Linked DNA regions of Arabidopsis thaliana. The protein of the gene in region 1 interacts with the protein of each later gene in a biochemical or structural test. Each region holds a gene or a part of one and is shown on either strand. Other genes may lie near its edges.

Region 1 (5,720 bases):
CGATTTCTTGACATTAGTCGAAAAACATTTGAAACTCGGTTATACAATGAGGTTATCGTTCAGGCCTCTGGAAAGAAAATCAATTCTATAATACTTCAATAACTTTTTAGTAAAACTAACTGGATCAACTGATGAATCATATATCAAAAAAACAAAAAAAAAAACTAACGGAGGTAGACAATAGTTTAGCTGGAATGCTTGAAGAAATGGCAAGAATATGCTTCGAGAAGTTATGATTTATGAAGAGGTTACCTGCAAATTTTTTCATTTCTTTTTGCCGACGGTTGGCTGTTAGTTAGGAAAAAGAATTTTTGTTATAGGATTTTCTCTTCCGTTTCGTACAAACCCAATCATTATTCTCGTCTTTATACTTAACTTTGCCTCTCATTTTCATGTTATCAATCTTTTAAATTAAATATATCGTCAATGACTGTTATGAATAATTAGTTCTTCATTCTCTGCCTTGGTTCGAACCTCAGTCACATGGTGCACGTTATTGTGATTTCCCATACCTCAAGAGTTATTCAAGATCCCTTACAGAAATATATTTATATAATCTTTTATCTAATGTAGTTATTTACAAACATGTATTATCTACCAAAATAAAAAGGGCTAAAAGCTTCTTGAGTGAGACCGCTTTTGGTTCGATTCATTTTCCTACACTCCAATAGTATTACACTATTGTATATAACAAGAATCGTGGGATTTGTTTAATCCGTACAATGAAACAAGAAAGATATACAATAACTTAATATCATTTTTTTTTGGGGACAATCTTAATATCATTTCTAATTTCTATAGAACCAAAAACACTCATAACAACTTAAACTTTGTTTTTTGTGAGAAAAATAACAACTTAATTACTAGTTACTACATTGACAATTTAACATCTTCAGCTAAAACCGAATGTATATGAACATTTATAATCTAGTTGCTATTGTATATACGATTGGATAATACGCATATCGACATTTAAATAATTGAGCCTGAAGATAATTCACAAATATGCAATGTAAATCCGTCCATACAGCCAAAAGTATGTATGTCCCATGCATAATTGAACAAAAAGAAATTATATTAATATTATTTTTGTTGTCTTCTGCAAATGCTAGGACTGCTATCATTATCATCATTGATTTTAATATTGATGTTTCCAGAAAAATAAATAAACAAATATAAAGAAAAAAACAAACACAATAAGTAAAGCTACACTATTAGGTAATAATTAAAGCTCATTTTTAAGTCTAAAATTTTAATTATAAAATAAAAACATTAAAAAGTTAAGACCCAAAGAAACATAAATGCTTTTTTCTTTCATCAATGTCAAAAAAGAAGTTTTCCCACCAAATGGTCAAACTTGGATCTTTGACAATATTGTTCCAATTTCATCATGCCCTATCTTTTCTATTTATACACATACCTTAGATATAATTATTAAACCCAAAATTTGTGTTAAGAAAAAAAATAGACCCAAAATTTGTGTTAAGAAAAAAAATAGACCCAAAATTTGGAATATATATATAAGTCACCGCTGGAAAAAAAATTATTGCAAGTAATTTCTTATATGAAATTGGAATGATAATATTTTGATCAAGTATCCATTACTAAAATTTTACAACGCTAGATAACGAGATTGCTTGAAGTCGAACTTGTGAACAAATTATAATAATGTAAAACTAACTTGTATTGACTAATCTTTGATTTTTTTTACAATAATGAGTGATATTACATTCATTTTATTAACTAAATACAACGAATATGATAAATATTCAGTCCTCTTATAAACTTTATGATAGTGAAAATTTGAGACATTGACAATTCTAGCATTCTAACATTTTATGAGATTACATGAAATGTCAATTTAGACCTTAAACCAAACGAATACATGATTCAAATTTGACCGACAAGTACATGATGCCTTCCCTTTGATCACGAAATTTCCACAAAGAGTCCGTGTCTGCGTAATTAACCAGCAATTTCAAGGGTGTTTACGTAATTGTAGCTTAACAAATAAAAAACACGAAAGAAGATGGCGAAGAAAACGGAAAGTAGTAGATAGATAAAGAAAGAGAAAGAGAAGAGCTGGATTCACATGGTCTTGTTCTTTCTCTCTCCTTCTTTTCTCATCTTGCGGCTTCCCTTTCTCTCTCTATCGCCACAATGATCATTACCAACCAAACTGATTGAAACTCATTTGTTCTCTCTCTCTCAAATCCACTCTCTCTCTTTCTTTTCTCTTCTCCTCTCTGTGTCTCTATCGCCATGGCTGATGATAAGGTAAAGCTGCTTGTGTTCCTTTTGCTGTCTTTTGAAGAAGAAGATCCTGTTTTTTGGTTTTTCCACATTTGACCCTTCAATTAGTTGTCTTGAGATTCCTGTTCTTACAGATGTTTTGTGATAATAAATCTAGTTTAGTTAGTACTCTTGAAGTTGAACGGTTTTGAGTTCTGGGTTTGTCCAAAGTTTTGAGCTTTCGTTAACTTTTTGACTTACCCTGAGATCTCTGAGGGTTTTGAGTTCTGAGCTTAGAATTTTCTAAGTTAGCTCTGTTGGGATGATCCATGTCTATATATCTCGATCTGTGATTAATCCAGAGTTTATACAAGCTGCTAGATCCATAATTGAACATAGATTAGTCCTTGTTTGGTTTGTTATATGTATTTGTTTTGTTTACCATTCTTTTGGCGTGACAAAAGTATATATTTTTAGTTTTAACTAAATCAGATTCACTCTGCGTAACGGTTATTTTGTAACCACTCTTTTAGGATAAAAGTTTCCTTCTTTAGACTTTTGATTCTCAGACAAGCATTATTCTTTTAGCTTTTGATAATGGTTTTGTGCTGATATTAAAGCTTTTCTCTTTCAGGAGATGCCTGCTGCTGTAGTTGATGGACATGATCAAGTCACTGGTCATATTATTTCCACCACAATCGGTGGCAAAAATGGTGAACCAAAACAGGTATTTTTAAGGCTTTTAACCAAATAGACTCACTTTTATGTATATGCAAGATTTTGATGGTTACCAATACATTTTTCTATGTTGTTGTTAGACAATTAGTTACATGGCGGAGCGAGTTGTTGGTACAGGCTCGTTCGGGATCGTTTTCCAAGCAAAATGTTTGGAGACTGGAGAAACCGTGGCGATAAAGAAGGTTTTGCAAGATAGAAGATACAAGAACCGAGAACTTCAGTTGATGCGTGTGATGGATCATCCGAATGTGGTTTGTTTGAAGCATTGCTTCTTTTCGACTACAAGTAAAGACGAGCTTTTCTTGAACTTGGTTATGGAGTATGTCCCTGAGAGCTTGTATCGAGTTCTGAAACATTATAGTAGTGCAAACCAAAGAATGCCTCTTGTCTATGTTAAACTTTACATGTATCAGGTAATAACAACACACATTCATATCTTCCATTTCCAAAGTTGATGTACATAAGATTGTTCTTAGGCTGATATTACTTCCTTTTGTTATGTTAGATCTTCCGGGGACTTGCTTACATTCACAATGTTGCTGGAGTTTGTCACAGAGATCTAAAGCCTCAAAATCTTCTGGTATGTGTAACATTTTAAGATTGAACTCTTTGTTTTTTTTCTTGCCTTTGTTTCTTTCGTTCTTAATGTATCTCTTCTGGTCTCTTTCTATAGGTTGATCCTCTTACTCATCAAGTCAAAATCTGTGACTTTGGCAGTGCGAAACAGCTCGTAAGACTTTGTGACATATAAACTCATTCGACTTGTAGCGGTTGTTGTTTTCTGTGATCTTGTCATTTACTGTTGAAATTTACTTTTGCTTCAGGTTAAAGGTGAAGCCAACATTTCTTACATCTGCTCACGATTCTACCGTGCACCCGAGCTCATATTTGGTGCCACTGAGTACACAACTTCTATTGATATCTGGTCTGCTGGTTGTGTTCTTGCTGAGCTTCTTCTTGGTCAGGTAAACAATTCTTTCAGTAACCAGCTTATTCAATCTCCATGTGTATATTTGCATTAGGACTCATTGTGACTATATCATGTTCTTATGCAGCCATTATTTCCCGGAGAAAATGCTGTGGATCAGCTCGTTGAAATTATAAAAGTAAGAATCTTTAAACGATGATTCCTTGCAAATTACATTCTTTGGCTACAAAATCCTCACTGTATAGTTGTTGTACACAGGTTCTTGGTACACCAACTCGAGAAGAAATCCGTTGTATGAATCCACATTACACAGATTTCAGGTTTCCACAGATAAAGGCACATCCCTGGCACAAGGTTAGTGTCTTTTCTCTTTTTGCATGTGTTCTTGTTTCAGTTTCTTTCTTCACACATCAACTGATCATAATTACGTTTTGGTTTAGATCTTCCACAAAAGGATGCCCCCAGAAGCGATTGATTTTGCATCAAGGCTGCTTCAATACTCTCCAAGTCTAAGATGCACAGCGGTAAGCATTGGTCTTGAGGTTTCTTCAGTCTCTAAGAATCCAACTGAATCCTTACTATATATTTTGTTTCCTCGTATTTCAGCTCGAAGCTTGTGCACATCCGTTCTTTGATGAACTCAGAGAACCAAACGCTCGTTTACCAAATGGACGGCCTTTCCCGCCTCTCTTCAACTTCAAACAAGAAGTAGCTGGATCATCACCTGAACTGGTCAACAAGTTGATTCCAGACCATATCAAGAGACAATTGGGTCTAAGCTTCTTGAATCAATCTGGAACTTAAAAGGGATCCTGCAAAAGACAACTACTTTTTTATATATAATGTACCATTACACGAGCCACAAGGTCGTAGTTGAAGGCAAACGTGGAGGACACAATTCAAAGTTTTTCCTCCTCAAACTCGTTCAGACAAAGCCAGCTGCTAGCAAAACCAACTCCCCCAAATCTGCGAAAACAAAAACTCTCCAGTGTTGTATCTGCTTATTTCTCTTCTCTTTTCAAGTTTGGTGAAAAACACAGTCTCCTCTTTGCTTCATTTCTTCTTTCTTTCCCCCTTATGTAAATGAGTTTAGTCAGAAGTTTTTTTATATAGTAAAGTTTGGGCAGAAGGTGAAGAATGTAATCAAAGTGATACTCTTTCAACGAGGAGCTTCTTTCAAACACTTTTTTTTTTTTTCAAACACTTCATGAATGGATACATGGTTTTGCTTTAAGCATAAGTATATTTGTATTAAATTTTCACTCAATTTAATTGCACGAATCATTACAAAAATAATATCTCGCTACTCATATAAATACCCTATAAATAAATAAGTGAATTTTTTTTATCTCTCATGGAAATTTGATTTATGTATTTATATGTTTTAAGATTCGAAGAAATTTTTAAATAATGAAAATTTACAAATATATAATTCTTAATTCAGAATTTCAGATATTGAATTACTTATTGGATTTTTAAAACAAAAAGAAAATTACATGACTTTTTTTTTCTTTTTTTTTTTTAAATATCTGTTAGTTCAAGTTAAAAGACCATACATTTTCTAAAGGCGGGACCTATATCAGGTTAAATTCATCTCCTTTTAGAAAAAAAATATATTTGGGAAAGGCTTTGATAGCAAGCAATTAAAGTATCCGAAACTAACAAAACCTATCTGGTCTTGGACTCTTAGTCTTTATATAAACAACATCAGATAGATCGAGAGACCATACGCAACAATTTACTAATTTCTCTTCTCCTTCGTTGCTTTTGAAACCCTAGTTATTATCGAGAGATCAAACACGTACGTACACAAAAGACCGAT
Region 2 (5,841 bases), on another chromosome or scaffold:
TGAGTTTTCAGTGAAAACACTCGTCTATGAGAAATGTTACAACCTCTCCTATGTTAGGAATCATGAGCATCTAACGTAAAACTAATTGACAATAAGTTAACTCATCCTATTTTATATATTGTATTAGTATTAATCGCTTCATACTCCTATTGTAGAATCCTAACATCCTCATCCTCGACACAAGATCTCATCGGTGTAATGTCCAAAATCCGAAACAAGAATGTGTTTTTTTAATAATGGTAGTGAATATAATGGCCAAATATGTTCTCTTTGGAAGTTACAATATTGTTGTATGTGATATAATAACTTTGAGGAAAAAGAACAAAACGACTTCATGGCCCAATGGATAAGGCGCTGGTCTACGAAACCAGAGATTCTGGGTTCGATCCCCAGTGAAGTCGCATTCTTTTTTACACTATATCCTTACCTTCAAATTTGATCTGGAACAAGGAGAATAAGTAGATATATAGCCTTTCCAAGCTGTACTGCGTGAATCCATGGCTAAACCTTTCTGGTCTGGAACAATGGTCTTTACCTTCCAAGTCTTCTTCATTGCTCAACATTGTCGTCACGTTATGTGCAACGAATCAAAAAATGTGAAATCTCACTTTAACCAAAATGACACAAGCCCTTGACTATAAAACAAAGCTACACAAATTTGAAATAGAAGATGACAATAAGACACAATTAGAAACAGTAGTGGTAAATAGAATGTTTAAACAGAGAAGAAGGAACAGAACAGAGTCTCTGTCTCCAAAAATTCTGAAGACACATCAATTGTCACAAGTCTTGTGCTCTGCCGTTTCACGAGCAAATGACCAAAAAAACAAGTAGAAGAAGAAACCATTAGGCTTCAATACCGAAGATGAACCAGTAAAAACAAAAAAAGAAAAAACCCCTAATTAGGTTTTTTAAAAAAGGAGATGAATTTTTCTTATTAATGTTATTGAAGCTTCTCTCTTATCTGTCTTCTTCAAAATCTGAGAATGGTGTGTCAGCCAAACTCCAATCTCATTCCACATTCATCCTTCCTTTCCTTTTTTACCATCCTTCCCTTGCTGACGATGACCTGTGAAACCCGAAAATCTGAAATGTCAGTTTACTCGCATCTCAAGATCTTGATACACAGAAGCAAACATTATAAGGAATGACCCAAGTTTGGATCTTTATACTAACTTTTGGGTTCATGTCAACCCCAGATAAGTAGGAAGGAAGCTATTGAATGCGAGTATATTGTAAGTCTGTTCCTTGGAATGGGATTGAATCAGATGTAAAAGGCTAACCTGTCGAAGTTTCTGTTGTTGAAGAATCCACGTTCCTTGCTTCCTTGGAAGTTTCTTCGATCATCTACTGGTCTTGGCCAATTATCGCCTGTGCCATGTGATCTAGGTCTTTCCATGGATTCAACACTCCTAGACTCATCGATTGATCCAGCCCGTGAATGTGGTCTTTCTGAATAGGAACCGCCTCTGCTTGCACTGGATCCAGGCCTCTCAACTGCTCGTGGCCTGAACCTGACTTTGTCGTCCAGCTCACGGATCAGTAAGTCTAGGTTCTTTTCTTTCTCACGTATGAGATCCGGTAGATTTTGGTGATTACTGTCGGATTCCTGTTGAGATTCCTTGCTCTCAGGTGCAATGGCTGCCTCCTTCTCGAGTTTCTTCCGTAGTTCTTCAATCTCTTCCTTCAACATCCTCTCTCCCTCTGTTTCAGGCCTGAAATTTTTGTGTTTCAAGAGACCGAGATGAAAAGTGAGACCATAGCTAATCAAGAGATGATCTAGAAAGTCATCACCATAATCACAGAGAAGTTATTTATCTACCAACAAGGCATCACAGAGCTCACAAAAGAGTTAACAAAAGAAGACACAAAACTCAGACGAATGTGACAGCATGAGATACCAAAAAATGCAAGAGCTGTCTTACAAGTTACATGTTACATGTTATGCAATTCTATAAATGCCAAGGAGGCTGAATAAAAAAGATATAGGAACAAAATAAGTTCAAAAAGAGCACAGTTGAGAGAACAAAGATCAATCAATCTGCCAAAGAAATGGGCAATGCATATATTTGGTAATGAAGCAACTTTCAGATAAAAGTCTGATGCCGAGATGCTTAAGAAGACATTCATTCAACATGTCATCAAAAGAAAACCACGAATACACTAAAACTTAAGTAGATAAATCATTCAATTAGTTTCCATTTTGAATTTGAAATAATAAGCCGAAGTGGCAAAATTACCTAAAGCTATTACTTTGAATATAATTTACTATCCTCTAATGGTTCACCAGTTCATATCACTTAAAAGATCAAACTTTTCTGATTCAGTATGTTGAACAGCGGATTATTTGAGACATAATTAACATTCAACCCATGGCAGCAACATAGAATTGACGGAAATTCACATTGCTCAGAGAAAAGAAAGAAAATCCAAATGAATAAGGACCTGTCAACCCTGCGATGCTCGAGTTCAGAATCAATCTTGCGCCAATCTTTCCCTTGTTCCTCCAGCAATACTTCCCGAGGTTTTGCATCACCAAAAGGATTCACCTTTGGTCTCGGTTTCACCACATTCTCCACATTGTTCAATGCTGAACTCTCAGACCTGTTAGATTGAGCACTTGATGGTCTGCTCGATTGCGCGCTTGATGGTCTGCTTGTTTGTCCCTTCTTGGCCTCAATATCCGAGTCAAGTTTCTTCCAGTCCAATCCTTTCTCCGCCAAAACTTGCTCTCTCGGTCTAGCTGCTCCAAATGGACTCGGCTTACTCGTCTTCACAGCAGTTGGAGTTTCACTCACTTCTGTATCAGCCTTTCGTGGTTCAAATACAAGACGACGTCGCTCTTCCTGAACCCCACCACCAGAAGGAAGGACTCCTCGAGCCCATCGGTCAGGCTCTGGTCCGGATTCACGGAAACCCGACCCAAACGTAGATGATTTTGCTTTACCCGCTGCCCAATTATCAACCTCATCAGCTTTAGAGAATCCACCTCCACCTCCACTACCAGCACCAGCACCACCGCCGCCATAACTGCCAGCACCACCTCCTCCTCCTCCACCAAAACTACCTCCCCCACCACCATAACGACTACCTTGACGTCCTTGATCAAACGAAGGAAGCGATTTCTTTCCTTTTCCCCAATCATCATCCTCATCAGCCCTAGAAACTTGTGGGAAATCAGAAACCCTAGAATTAGATCCCCTCTGATCATCATCAAATCCACCATAAGATCTCCTCCCACCACCACCACCGCCCCAAGACCCATCAGAATCCTCTCGATCTCGTGACATTCTTCCCGGAGGTCCACTAGACCTTCCTCCACCATAAGAAGAGAATCCACCACCGAGACGACCAGGTTGCATTTCATCCTCAGAACGTTGTCTTGGACCAGTAGGTAGCTGAAGCATCTGCTCTCTCGTCAATCCAGCAGAACTCGGAGCAGTGTATGCTCCTTTGGTAAACTCCGATAAAGTCATCTTCTTCTTCTTCTTAGAAGACTTAGCAGTCGCAGCCTCTTTCAGACTCGGGAAACTCTGTGAATCTGCCGCCGTGGCTGTAGCTTCAGCAGCTTGCTCTTCATCGGCACGCTCAGCCTCATCAGCCCATGCGCCGATTCCACCCCAAGGTTTCGACATCTGTGAATTTTCCAATTCCAAATTCGGAGATTCCCCCAGATCTGAAAAACGCAGGACAGAAATTGAGAGTGACGAATCTAAAGATTCCAATTCAAAGTAGCTCCGAGTGAGAAATCGAATCTAAAGATTCTCTCGTCGTCGCCTAAAGATGAAATTTTTTATATGTAAAAATCGATTTATTTCCTTGTGAAGCTGGTTTGTTTGTAGGTTTCGGAACGGAGGAGCAATGGACGGAGAAAGAGAGATAGCAATACGCGACGTATTGGAGCGTGTGGTACACGTAGAAATCAGTTTTACGAGGAAGTTAATGGCTTGAACGTTGTGCCGTTGTGGTTCACGCGACGTGTTAGCAAGTGACGGTTGACTTGTACAGGAAACGAACGGTCATGAGTCTTTGTTTTTAGCCAATTCTTATCAAATTATTTATCTTTGTTTTTCCCACCAACTTCAAAACATATACATTGCATCCATTTCTTTAAATCGGGTGATTATAGAAAATGAAGACATAAATGGATATGATATATAACACATTCATTTTTCAGATTTTTGAATGGATTCAAACGTGAAATTCAAAAAGATCTTGAGAGAGTATTACACATTCATCGTTTTTCTCTATACATAAACCTTTAACCTTAGAAAGCTAAACTGTGCGTTTACAGCATCAAAAACAAAATGGCTTTCTCTACCCTTTGTCTGAGTTTTTCATATCCAAAATGAAGACAAAAGCAGCAGAGTTTCTTCTAGAGAGATGTGACCTAGTTTCTCAAATCTCTTTCTGAGATCTGAGATAGTTCATTACAGGACCCATAGCACTGCCTCGCAGTGCCTTGTAAGACCATGAGCCTCCACTTGAACTCCCTTTCTTGTTCCACCCATTGTTGGCCTGAGACAACGCTGCTTTCTTTGCACTTAAAGCTTCACTTAGTTCTTCCCAAGGGCTCACTTCTCCATTTTCTGCAATATTCCAATGAAAGTAGATAAGACTCCATCTATTTCAATACAATGTCGATCCAAGATTGATGGAAAATTTACCTTTTGCAGGGGTTTGCAATTCTTTGTTTGCGCTTAGCTTTGGCTTTTTAGCTGACTGGTCAGGCTCGGGCAGTGCTGACTTGGCGACTTCTGCAGAATCTGAGCTGCTAGTTTTGACACTGCGAACATCGAGCAGAGCAGAAAATTCTATCTGCAGAAGCAAAGTCTTTCTTATATTAGAATTCTGATGCTTAGCAAGCAAACAACTACAAGAATGTTCTTGTTCATAAGATATGTATGACATAATGTAAACCATGAAGCATACCTCCAGGGATCCATCTTCTTTATAAAGAGATGTATCAGGTTGCATACAGAAATCGTCGTCCTCTTCTGTCTTTTTCTCGATTGGAAATTCTTGAACAGGCATCAAAGTCACCATCTTGGAGTCTGGATCATAGTAGCTTATCTTCCCAACCTATCAAAAGAAGTATATTGTAAAGTGGATAAGTTCCTCAGAATAAGCGTTGATTGATCGAATTTGGCTTAAAAGGAGAGCCAGAAATTTTACCCGAAAAGAGGAAACCTCGGGTGTCCAAGATGATGTTAACTCAATGAGGCGGTATGCAATAACATCTCCTTTCTGTAAAGTTAACAAACCAGGAGTTAAGGAGTTTAAAAATGCTGAATCTATAAACAACCTGCTGGGGGTAGTAAAGACTATAAACAAACCTTTACTGAGCCAGTGTAAGCCACAAGCTGTTCATAATCAATCGGACAATTAGCAAGTGTCTCTGCTTCAGCGGGCTGTGTCGTAGCATCTTCATTAAAATCCTGAGCATATCGTTTGGAAAACCCTGACTTCTCTGTGCCCCATTTCTGTCCCTTCTTCTTCGTCATGTTTCCATTCCACAAGACATTTTCCTAATATTATTTAGACATAATCATTACAGATTCAGCTTAGGCAAAGCTTTAAGGATACAAACATAGGGTCAAGTCATACCACAAGAGGTTCACTATCAAGAGAGGCTTCATCTGTTCCAGCTGAAAAATAAGCATATAAGGGAAACTGTGAGGAGCCTTGCAAACGCACAAAAGCTATACAGAGAGAAATTTACATAATAATTTACCGAGAGGCTTGAAGCGTATGTGGCCTGGCCTCACTTCCACAGGTACAACTTCATCCCCGAAACCATCACTAACTTCTTCTGCCTGTTGATTTTCAAGAGTTTCACAG
Region 3 (7,504 bases), on another chromosome or scaffold:
TGTATCGTCTCGTTTTCCTTGTCATATCGCGTGTGACGTGTTATTGGCTTATTGCTGAACAGTCTTCTTTTTTATTTTCCATCGTTATCCTGATTTTTTTTTTTTTCCAAATTTGATTTTCATGGTTTGTAATTTTGCAATAGATTTTGTGTTTCACAGAGAGATAGTTTACGTGTTGTTAAAAATAATTTGTGCAAAATAGTGTGCGTGTGTTAAATATTAAACGATATATAATAATTAGAAGAAAATAAAAAGTTTTGTCGCGATTAGTTATTTGATATTTACCTTGTTCTTTTGTTTATCGCTGCGACAAGCACCGACGGTATAAAATATAAAGAAAAAAAGAAAGAGAGATGAAGGTGAGATGAATGAAAGAGTCGCAGCGACAGATCTGAAGAGATAGGAGAAAGGGAATTTGAGACGCTGAAAATTCCAGCGTCTACGGAATGGCCGAATTACAGTCGATGCGGCAGAGATGAAAAAAATGAGAAATGAAAGTGAAAAAGAGATGAGAACTTTTTTTGGGTCGCAGGTAGCTGACGCAGCAATCAACAAAAGAACATGGCCAACGTTTTAGTAGATACTACTATAAAAGAAAAAGGTTGATTTAATTCATTCGTAATTTGGACTTAATTTTTTTTTAGGAACACTAATTAATCTTATTTGCCAGCTGTATGAGTGGACTACAATAAACTCTTGTCTATAAACCAGATTTTCTTCCTTTTTAACGCTTCCACTTACAACAATATATGTAAATATGTAATTATGACGGGGCATACGGAAATTTAATTTTTGAAGCAGATTCATCCCATTAGCCAGCTGTATTAAGTGGTAATCCAAGAGTTAATTTAGTTGTTCAGCAAATGATTTTAGATAAAATCAACTACTAGTTTAAAATAACTATCGAATGACTGTTAAGGCTTCGTATTTTTTGTTCTGCCATCAGGATATCATAAATATGGTTGAGGTTCGTATAATATTCGACGATCTTTTATATATCTGAGTTGTAATTGAATTAGAGAAAATAAAAAACAGATAATGAAACGTCTTTGTTTTTCCATAAAAAGAAAAACAGGGTAAATTAAAGTACGAGAGATTCACGAGACGAAAATTCCTAGAGGCGCACGATAGCCAAAAGACCATAGAAAATGACATCCGAAATATCTTTAAAATGCTAAAATGCACATATTTTTCTGGTGCCACGTAGCATTTTTCTCCCTCTCTCGTTCTCTCTACGTCCACCCAGACCTGCCTGTTCACAGCACGACAAAGCCACTTCCCAATAAAAACACAACACCTTTCCCATTGACGCTCTCTTTCCCAAACACCGTTATCCTCTTTACCCAATCAAAAGTTGACGCTTGCTCACGACTTGTTGACGCCGTTAGTCCCATCTAAAAAAGTAAAGCAGCCTTTCTTACTTGCTAATCCCCTCTACACATTTAATTTATTTTCTCCCCTAATGGATTTTTTTTGGCAACTTGAGTATTTATTTTTCAACTCACAGTAACTGTAAATAAATAAAAGTATTCAACTCACAGTCACCAGTAAATAAATACTACCAGACCATAGTTTTTTCAAGAATTGTTTTGGTCAACAATTTTAGGATGACTTAAATTGCTATATTTCTGGGGAAATACGACTTGGAAATGTCTGCAATTTGGGTCTTTTCTTCAATTTATCTTCTCCAATTTGTTTTTTAAAAAATTAAATTTTAGAAAAGGATATGTCAATTTTTTCTATTGAAAAGGCTTTATTAAAAAATAAGAAAAAGTGGAGGAAAGAAAATAAAATCGTCACTTGTCTTTGGTTTTGTGAGGTCGCAGACCCTGGTCCCCCGGAAATGGTTACAACCGGTAATAGCCGGTATGAAAGAGGGAATGGTAACCGGTGAATGCCGGTTATCCATATGGGTTAGAAGTTTACCGCGGTTGAAATGATTGAAGCTGAGTTTTGACTACCTCTGGTTAAGCCCATTGGTCGCCTCATACCCAGAAAAACAAAAGGATAGGAAAGACGAAGAAATAAAAAGAGAGAGAATGTTAGAGAGACAAACTCTGAGAGACAAAACAAGAGAAAATCGCTCGTCGTCGGTATTCAAGCGTCTGTGACTCCGATAAAGCCTAGACTAGCGAGGACGGCGAGAGAGAGAGAGAGAGAGCTTTGGAGTTGTCGTATCTCTAAATCGGAGGCAATTTGAGGTGAAATTGGTGGTTTTATCGTTTGATTCTAGGGTTTATCTTCTCTGATAGTTTTATCGAGTAATGTCAAGGAGCTAAACTAGTGGTGATTGTGTTTGTTAGTGAGATAAAGACAAAGGAAGGAATCAAGTGGACTACCGAAGCGAGTTTTGAGCTTTTTCAGAGACGGATTTGGAGATTTCTTGTTGATATCGTCTGCTTAGAGGCTTATTTGGTACCAGATGAAACAGATCTGAGCTTCGGAAGGTATGGCGAGTTCGGAGGTTTCAATGAAAGGTAATCGTGGAGGAGATAACTTCTCCTCCTCTGGTTTTAGTGACCCTAAGGAGACTAGAAATGTCTCCGTCGCCGGCGAGGGGCAAAAAAGTAATTCTACCCGATCCGCTGCGGCTGAGCGTGCTTGTAAGTCTCCGTTTCTTAGGGTTTCTTAAGCTTGGTTTTGGTTACAGACTGACTTGATCTAATTTATCTTCTTCTTCTTCGTCTTCATAGTGGACCCTGAGGCTGCTCTTTACAGAGAGCTATGGCACGCTTGTGCTGGTCCGCTTGTGACGGTTCCTAGACAAGACGACCGAGTCTTCTATTTTCCTCAAGGACACATCGAGCAGGTGAGATATTTCATCTATGAGTTCTTGCTATTTTTGGCTAAATCTTTGAGTTAACCCCTCTGTGATTCGTACCTGTTGAGATATTTTCTAATGAACTTTGTCGGTTTCCATTGTTTTATGATTAGGTGGAGGCTTCGACGAACCAGGCGGCAGAACAACAGATGCCTCTCTATGATCTTCCGTCAAAGCTTCTCTGTCGAGTTATTAATGTAGATTTAAAGGTAGGTTTCTTTAACTTCTTGGAAAATTTTGGTTTCTGTGTCTTGGATTGTCAGCTAACAAGAGTTTTGTTTATGATTTTACAGGCAGAGGCAGATACAGATGAAGTTTATGCGCAGATTACTCTTCTTCCTGAGGCTAATGTAAGTTTTGTTTTCTGATTTATTGGTTTGAGTGTTGTAGAGGTGATCTTATTCTTCAAGATGCTGAATTCTATATATTTTTTGTTCCATACAGCAAGACGAGAATGCAATTGAGAAAGAAGCGCCTCTTCCTCCACCTCCGAGGTTCCAGGTGCATTCGTTCTGCAAAACCTTGACTGCATCCGACACAAGTACACATGGTGGATTTTCTGTTCTTAGGCGACATGCGGATGAATGTCTCCCACCTCTGGTTGGTGTTTCATTTGCGCTTCTAACTATCTATTCATTGGCTTATTTTTCCTGAATTTTGTTCTAAGATTGCCTTCAATTCATTTTTTGTTTCTTCCCTCAGGATATGTCTCGACAGCCTCCCACTCAAGAGTTAGTTGCAAAGGATTTGCATGCAAATGAGTGGCGATTCAGACATATATTCCGGGGTATAGGAATCTGTAACTTTTTTATTTTCTGTTTTTCTCGAGTCTGTGTGTCATCAAACTTATCTGGTTGTTGATGTTTGTGATAATGGACCAGGTCAACCACGGAGGCATTTGCTACAGAGTGGGTGGAGTGTGTTTGTTAGCTCCAAAAGGCTAGTTGCAGGCGATGCGTTTATATTTCTAAGGTTTGTGGATTTTAGTTCATTGTTTTCTTTAGCTGTATCTGTTAGTTTCTATAATGTGGAATATCTTAATCTTCTACAGGGGCGAGAATGGAGAATTAAGAGTTGGTGTAAGGCGTGCGATGCGACAACAAGGAAACGTGCCGTCTTCTGTTATATCTAGCCATAGCATGCATCTTGGAGTACTGGCCACCGCATGGCATGCCATTTCAACAGGGACTATGTTTACAGTCTACTACAAACCCAGGTTTGTATTTGTATTAGCTCACAAAACAGCTTTCAGTTTTTTGAGCTCTTTGCTTTGTATGTCTCTATATGTCTGATGCTTGGTAGTGAATCACTCTACTAAATTTTCATGCGGTGTTGTTTTGTTTAATACAGGACGAGCCCATCTGAGTTTATTGTTCCGTTCGATCAGTATATGGAGTCTGTTAAGAATAACTACTCTATTGGCATGAGATTCAAAATGAGATTTGAAGGCGAAGAGGCTCCTGAGCAGAGGTAAAACCTGTCTTCTGCTTTTGAAATATGTTAGCTCTTGAGCCTTTTTCTCTTGGAATAACGAACCTAACAAGTTGTATTGATTTATATTAGGTTTACTGGCACAATCGTTGGGATTGAAGAGTCTGATCCTACTAGGTGGCCAAAATCAAAGTGGAGATCCCTCAAGGTATGACCTAGTTTCTAGAGAGGATCAAGACTATTGTTTGAATATAATGAATGCTGATTGTTCAATTGTCTTTCAGGTGAGATGGGATGAGACTTCTAGTATTCCTCGACCTGATAGAGTATCTCCGTGGAAAGTAGAGCCAGCTCTTGCTCCTCCTGCTTTGAGTCCTGTTCCAATGCCTAGGCCTAAGAGGCCCAGATCAAATATAGCACCTTCATCTCCTGACTCTTCGATGCTTACCAGAGAAGGTAATGTCTTCCCCTTCCACTGTAGTACACATAGTAGTGCGTCTGAAACTTAATTGAACTTGTCAGTGGGAGTCTAATTCATTGTACACAAAACAGGTACAACTAAGGCAAACATGGACCCTTTACCAGCAAGCGGACTTTCAAGGGTCTTGCAAGGTCAAGAATACTCGACCTTGAGGACGAAACATACTGAGAGTGTAGAGTGTGATGCTCCTGAGAATTCTGTTGTCTGGCAATCTTCAGCGGATGATGATAAGGTTGACGTGGTTTCGGGTTCTAGAAGATATGGATCTGAGAACTGGATGTCCTCAGCCAGGCATGAACCTACTTACACAGATTTGCTCTCCGGCTTTGGGACTAACATAGATCCATCCCATGGTCAGCGGATACCTTTTTATGACCATTCATCATCACCTTCTATGCCTGCAAAGAGAATCTTGAGTGATTCAGAAGGCAAGTTCGATTATCTTGCTAACCAGTGGCAGATGATACACTCTGGTCTCTCCCTGAAGTTACATGAATCTCCTAAGGTACCTGCAGCAACTGATGCGTCTCTCCAAGGGCGATGCAATGTTAAATACAGCGAATATCCTGTTCTTAATGGTCTATCGACTGAGAATGCTGGTGGTAACTGGCCAATACGTCCACGTGCTTTGAATTATTATGAGGAAGTGGTCAATGCTCAAGCGCAAGCTCAGGCTAGGGAGCAAGTAACAAAACAACCCTTCACGATACAAGAGGAGACAGCAAAGTCAAGAGAAGGGAACTGCAGGCTCTTTGGCATTCCTCTGACCAACAACATGAATGGGACAGACTCAACCATGTCTCAGAGAAACAACTTGAATGATGCTGCGGGGCTTACACAGATAGCATCACCAAAGGTTCAGGACCTTTCAGATCAGTCAAAAGGGTCAAAATCAACAAACGATCATCGTGAACAGGGAAGACCATTCCAGACTAATAATCCTCATCCGAAGGATGCTCAAACGAAAACCAACTCAAGTAGGAGTTGCACAAAGGTAAATTTTTGCAATATGTAGCACAAAGTGTATGAGGTTGTGATAACCCTTGAATCACTTTTCAACTAACACATGACACATTGATGTAAAGGTTCACAAGCAGGGAATTGCACTTGGCCGTTCAGTGGATCTTTCAAAGTTCCAAAACTATGAGGAGTTAGTCGCTGAGCTGGACAGGCTGTTTGAGTTCAATGGAGAGTTGATGGCTCCTAAGAAAGATTGGTTGATAGTTTACACAGATGAAGAGAATGATATGATGCTTGTTGGTGACGATCCTTGGCAGTAAGATTTTGCAAATTTTCCATCTTAGTTTATATCGATGTTAGTGTTTTTCTTATAACACTGACACAATGATCTCTCTTGCAGGGAGTTTTGTTGCATGGTTCGCAAAATCTTCATATACACGAAAGAGGAAGTGAGGAAGATGAACCCGGGGACTTTAAGCTGTAGGAGCGAGGAAGAAGCAGTTGTTGGGGAAGGATCAGATGCAAAGGACGCCAAGTCTGCATCAAATCCTTCATTGTCCAGCGCTGGGAACTCTTAAACAAACAAAATAACCAACAACCCTTTTGCTGCAAGCCGAGGTATGTAAAAGCTTTTGAGATATTAGTAGACTAGAGACACAGCCAAAAGTTTATGTCATTACATTCGACTGATGTTTGTTCTGTTAATGACAGCAGGATGGGGGTCGATTGGTGGAGACTGGAGAGCAAAATGGGATGATGGGTTTAAGATAAGATATTAAAAATGCAATTTTTGAAGTATTTTGTTGGCCACTTAGATAATTAGCATCTTCCATCACCCTTATTATCTATCTAATAATAATTAATAGATATTATAAAGTAAAACATAAAAAGGTTACAGGTATTATATAGTAGAATATGAAAAGCTCTTTTATAAGTAGAATATGATGGTGTGGAGTTGTAGTCGGAGGCTGGTATCGGTTCTTTTTATGGATGTATTTTTTTCCTTCTTCCAAAGATCTCTTGAAGTCTTTTTATTGTTTATATTAATCCCAATGTACATAAGTTTTCAAGCTCTTGCCCTTTTTTAATTATCTTGTCGATTCACATTTTCTCAACTTATTCTCTTGCTGACTTTTGGTTTTGGTCTGGTCTTGTCGGTATTTTGCAGCTTTTCGTATTAGACGGTGATATAGATATATTCACGAAACTGTAAGACCTCTTAACAAACGGATTCCATTTCGAATCCTTACATTAAATAAATTCGGATGTTTCTAGCTACAATCTGAAAATTAAGCTTGCAATGAGCAAAACAGTGAGCCCTCTTTTTAAAGTACTTTGAAAAAAAAACTGGATGCTAAAATTTGTTGTTTCCCTTGTAACAATGAGGAAAACAAGGTTTGGGTTTTCAAGTTTATTTCTCTAGCTATGCTCATGTCCATATAAACGAATCCGCTGAAAAACAGAAAGATGACACCATGGCAAACACATGATCAAAGTTTCGTGATCTATGGTTTCATTCTATCATATGGCTCTTCATAACCAAACTTGTATTTAGGTAGAACTCTATCTAAATCAAGACTTTAAACCATATGAAACACACAACACCGGCAACTCTGGCATACTACCGCCTTAAGCCGACAATCTCAATCGTCACAGAAACACAACAAACATTTTATCAAACTTGCTGAGTTTATGGAAAAACTTTCAATTGTATCAGTTTATGCCATTATCTTACAACAATACAAAACTGCATAGTTAAATAAGTGGTTCTCTAGCTCCTTGTAATTCTACCATCGACACATATAGTGATA

Evidence for each region. The genes of interacting proteins can lie anywhere in the genome.
Region 2: of the proteins of BIN2 (region 1) and EIF4B2, one has a biochemical effect on the other in vitro, tested with the Arabidopsis thaliana proteins (one study listed by BioGRID).
Region 3: of the proteins of BIN2 (region 1) and ARF2, one has a biochemical effect on the other in vitro, tested with the Arabidopsis thaliana proteins (one study listed by BioGRID).

Annotation. Positions count from the first base shown.
Region 1 is NC_003075.7:10,294,212-10,299,931, forward strand, and holds BIN2 (Protein kinase superfamily protein), read left to right. Parts: upstream 1-1,926; 5' UTR 1,927-2,262; coding exon 2,263-2,277; intron 2,278-2,314; exon of another isoform or gene 2,315-2,866; coding exon 2,867-2,959; intron 2,960-3,050; coding exon 3,051-3,383; intron 3,384-3,475; coding exon 3,476-3,550; intron 3,551-3,643; coding exon 3,644-3,700; intron 3,701-3,794; coding exon 3,795-3,935; intron 3,936-4,025; coding exon 4,026-4,076; intron 4,077-4,156; coding exon 4,157-4,252; intron 4,253-4,338; coding exon 4,339-4,422; intron 4,423-4,504; coding exon 4,505-4,702; 3' UTR 4,703-5,178; downstream 5,179-5,720. UniProt on the Arabidopsis thaliana protein: Negative regulator in brassinosteroid signal transduction pathway important for plant growth. May be also involved in auxin signaling pathway. Phosphorylates and increases the degradation of BZR1 and BZR2/BES1 by the proteasome.
Region 2 is NC_003070.9:4,439,886-4,445,726, forward strand, and holds EIF4B2 (eukaryotic initiation factor 4B2), read right to left. Parts: upstream 4,070-5,841; 5' UTR 3,636-4,069; coding exon 2,446-3,635; intron 1,716-2,445; coding exon 1,284-1,715; intron 1,070-1,283; coding exon 1,042-1,069; 3' UTR 519-1,041; downstream 1-518. Other genes in the region: AT1G13030 (sphere organelles protein-like protein), read right to left, coding at 4,399-4,589, 4,668-4,818, 4,933-5,082, 5,176-5,247, 5,337-5,528, 5,608-5,648, 5,735-5,841. UniProt on the Arabidopsis thaliana protein: Promotes the eIF4F and eIF4A RNA-dependent ATP-hydrolysis activity with different efficiency depending on mRNAs, thus providing mRNA discrimination during initiation of translation.
Region 3 is NC_003076.8:24,908,410-24,915,913, forward strand, and holds ARF2 (auxin response factor 2), read left to right. Parts: upstream 1-1,781; 5' UTR 1,782-2,201; exon of another isoform or gene 2,202-2,303; 5' UTR 2,304-2,449; coding exon 2,450-2,603; intron 2,604-2,693; coding exon 2,694-2,809; intron 2,810-2,934; coding exon 2,935-3,030; intron 3,031-3,114; coding exon 3,115-3,171; intron 3,172-3,265; coding exon 3,266-3,421; intron 3,422-3,523; coding exon 3,524-3,608; intron 3,609-3,702; coding exon 3,703-3,793; intron 3,794-3,872; coding exon 3,873-4,037; intron 4,038-4,171; coding exon 4,172-4,291; intron 4,292-4,384; coding exon 4,385-4,460; intron 4,461-4,536; coding exon 4,537-4,708; intron 4,709-4,804; coding exon 4,805-5,727; intron 5,728-5,818; coding exon 5,819-6,009; intron 6,010-6,093; coding exon 6,094-6,271; 3' UTR 6,272-6,311; intron 6,312-6,404; exon of another isoform or gene 6,405-6,407; coding exon of another isoform or gene 6,408-6,464; 3' UTR 6,465-6,986; downstream 6,987-7,504. UniProt on the Arabidopsis thaliana protein: Auxin response factors (ARFs) are transcriptional factors that bind specifically to the DNA sequence 5'-TGTCTC-3' found in the auxin-responsive promoter elements (AuxREs). Could act as transcriptional activator or repressor.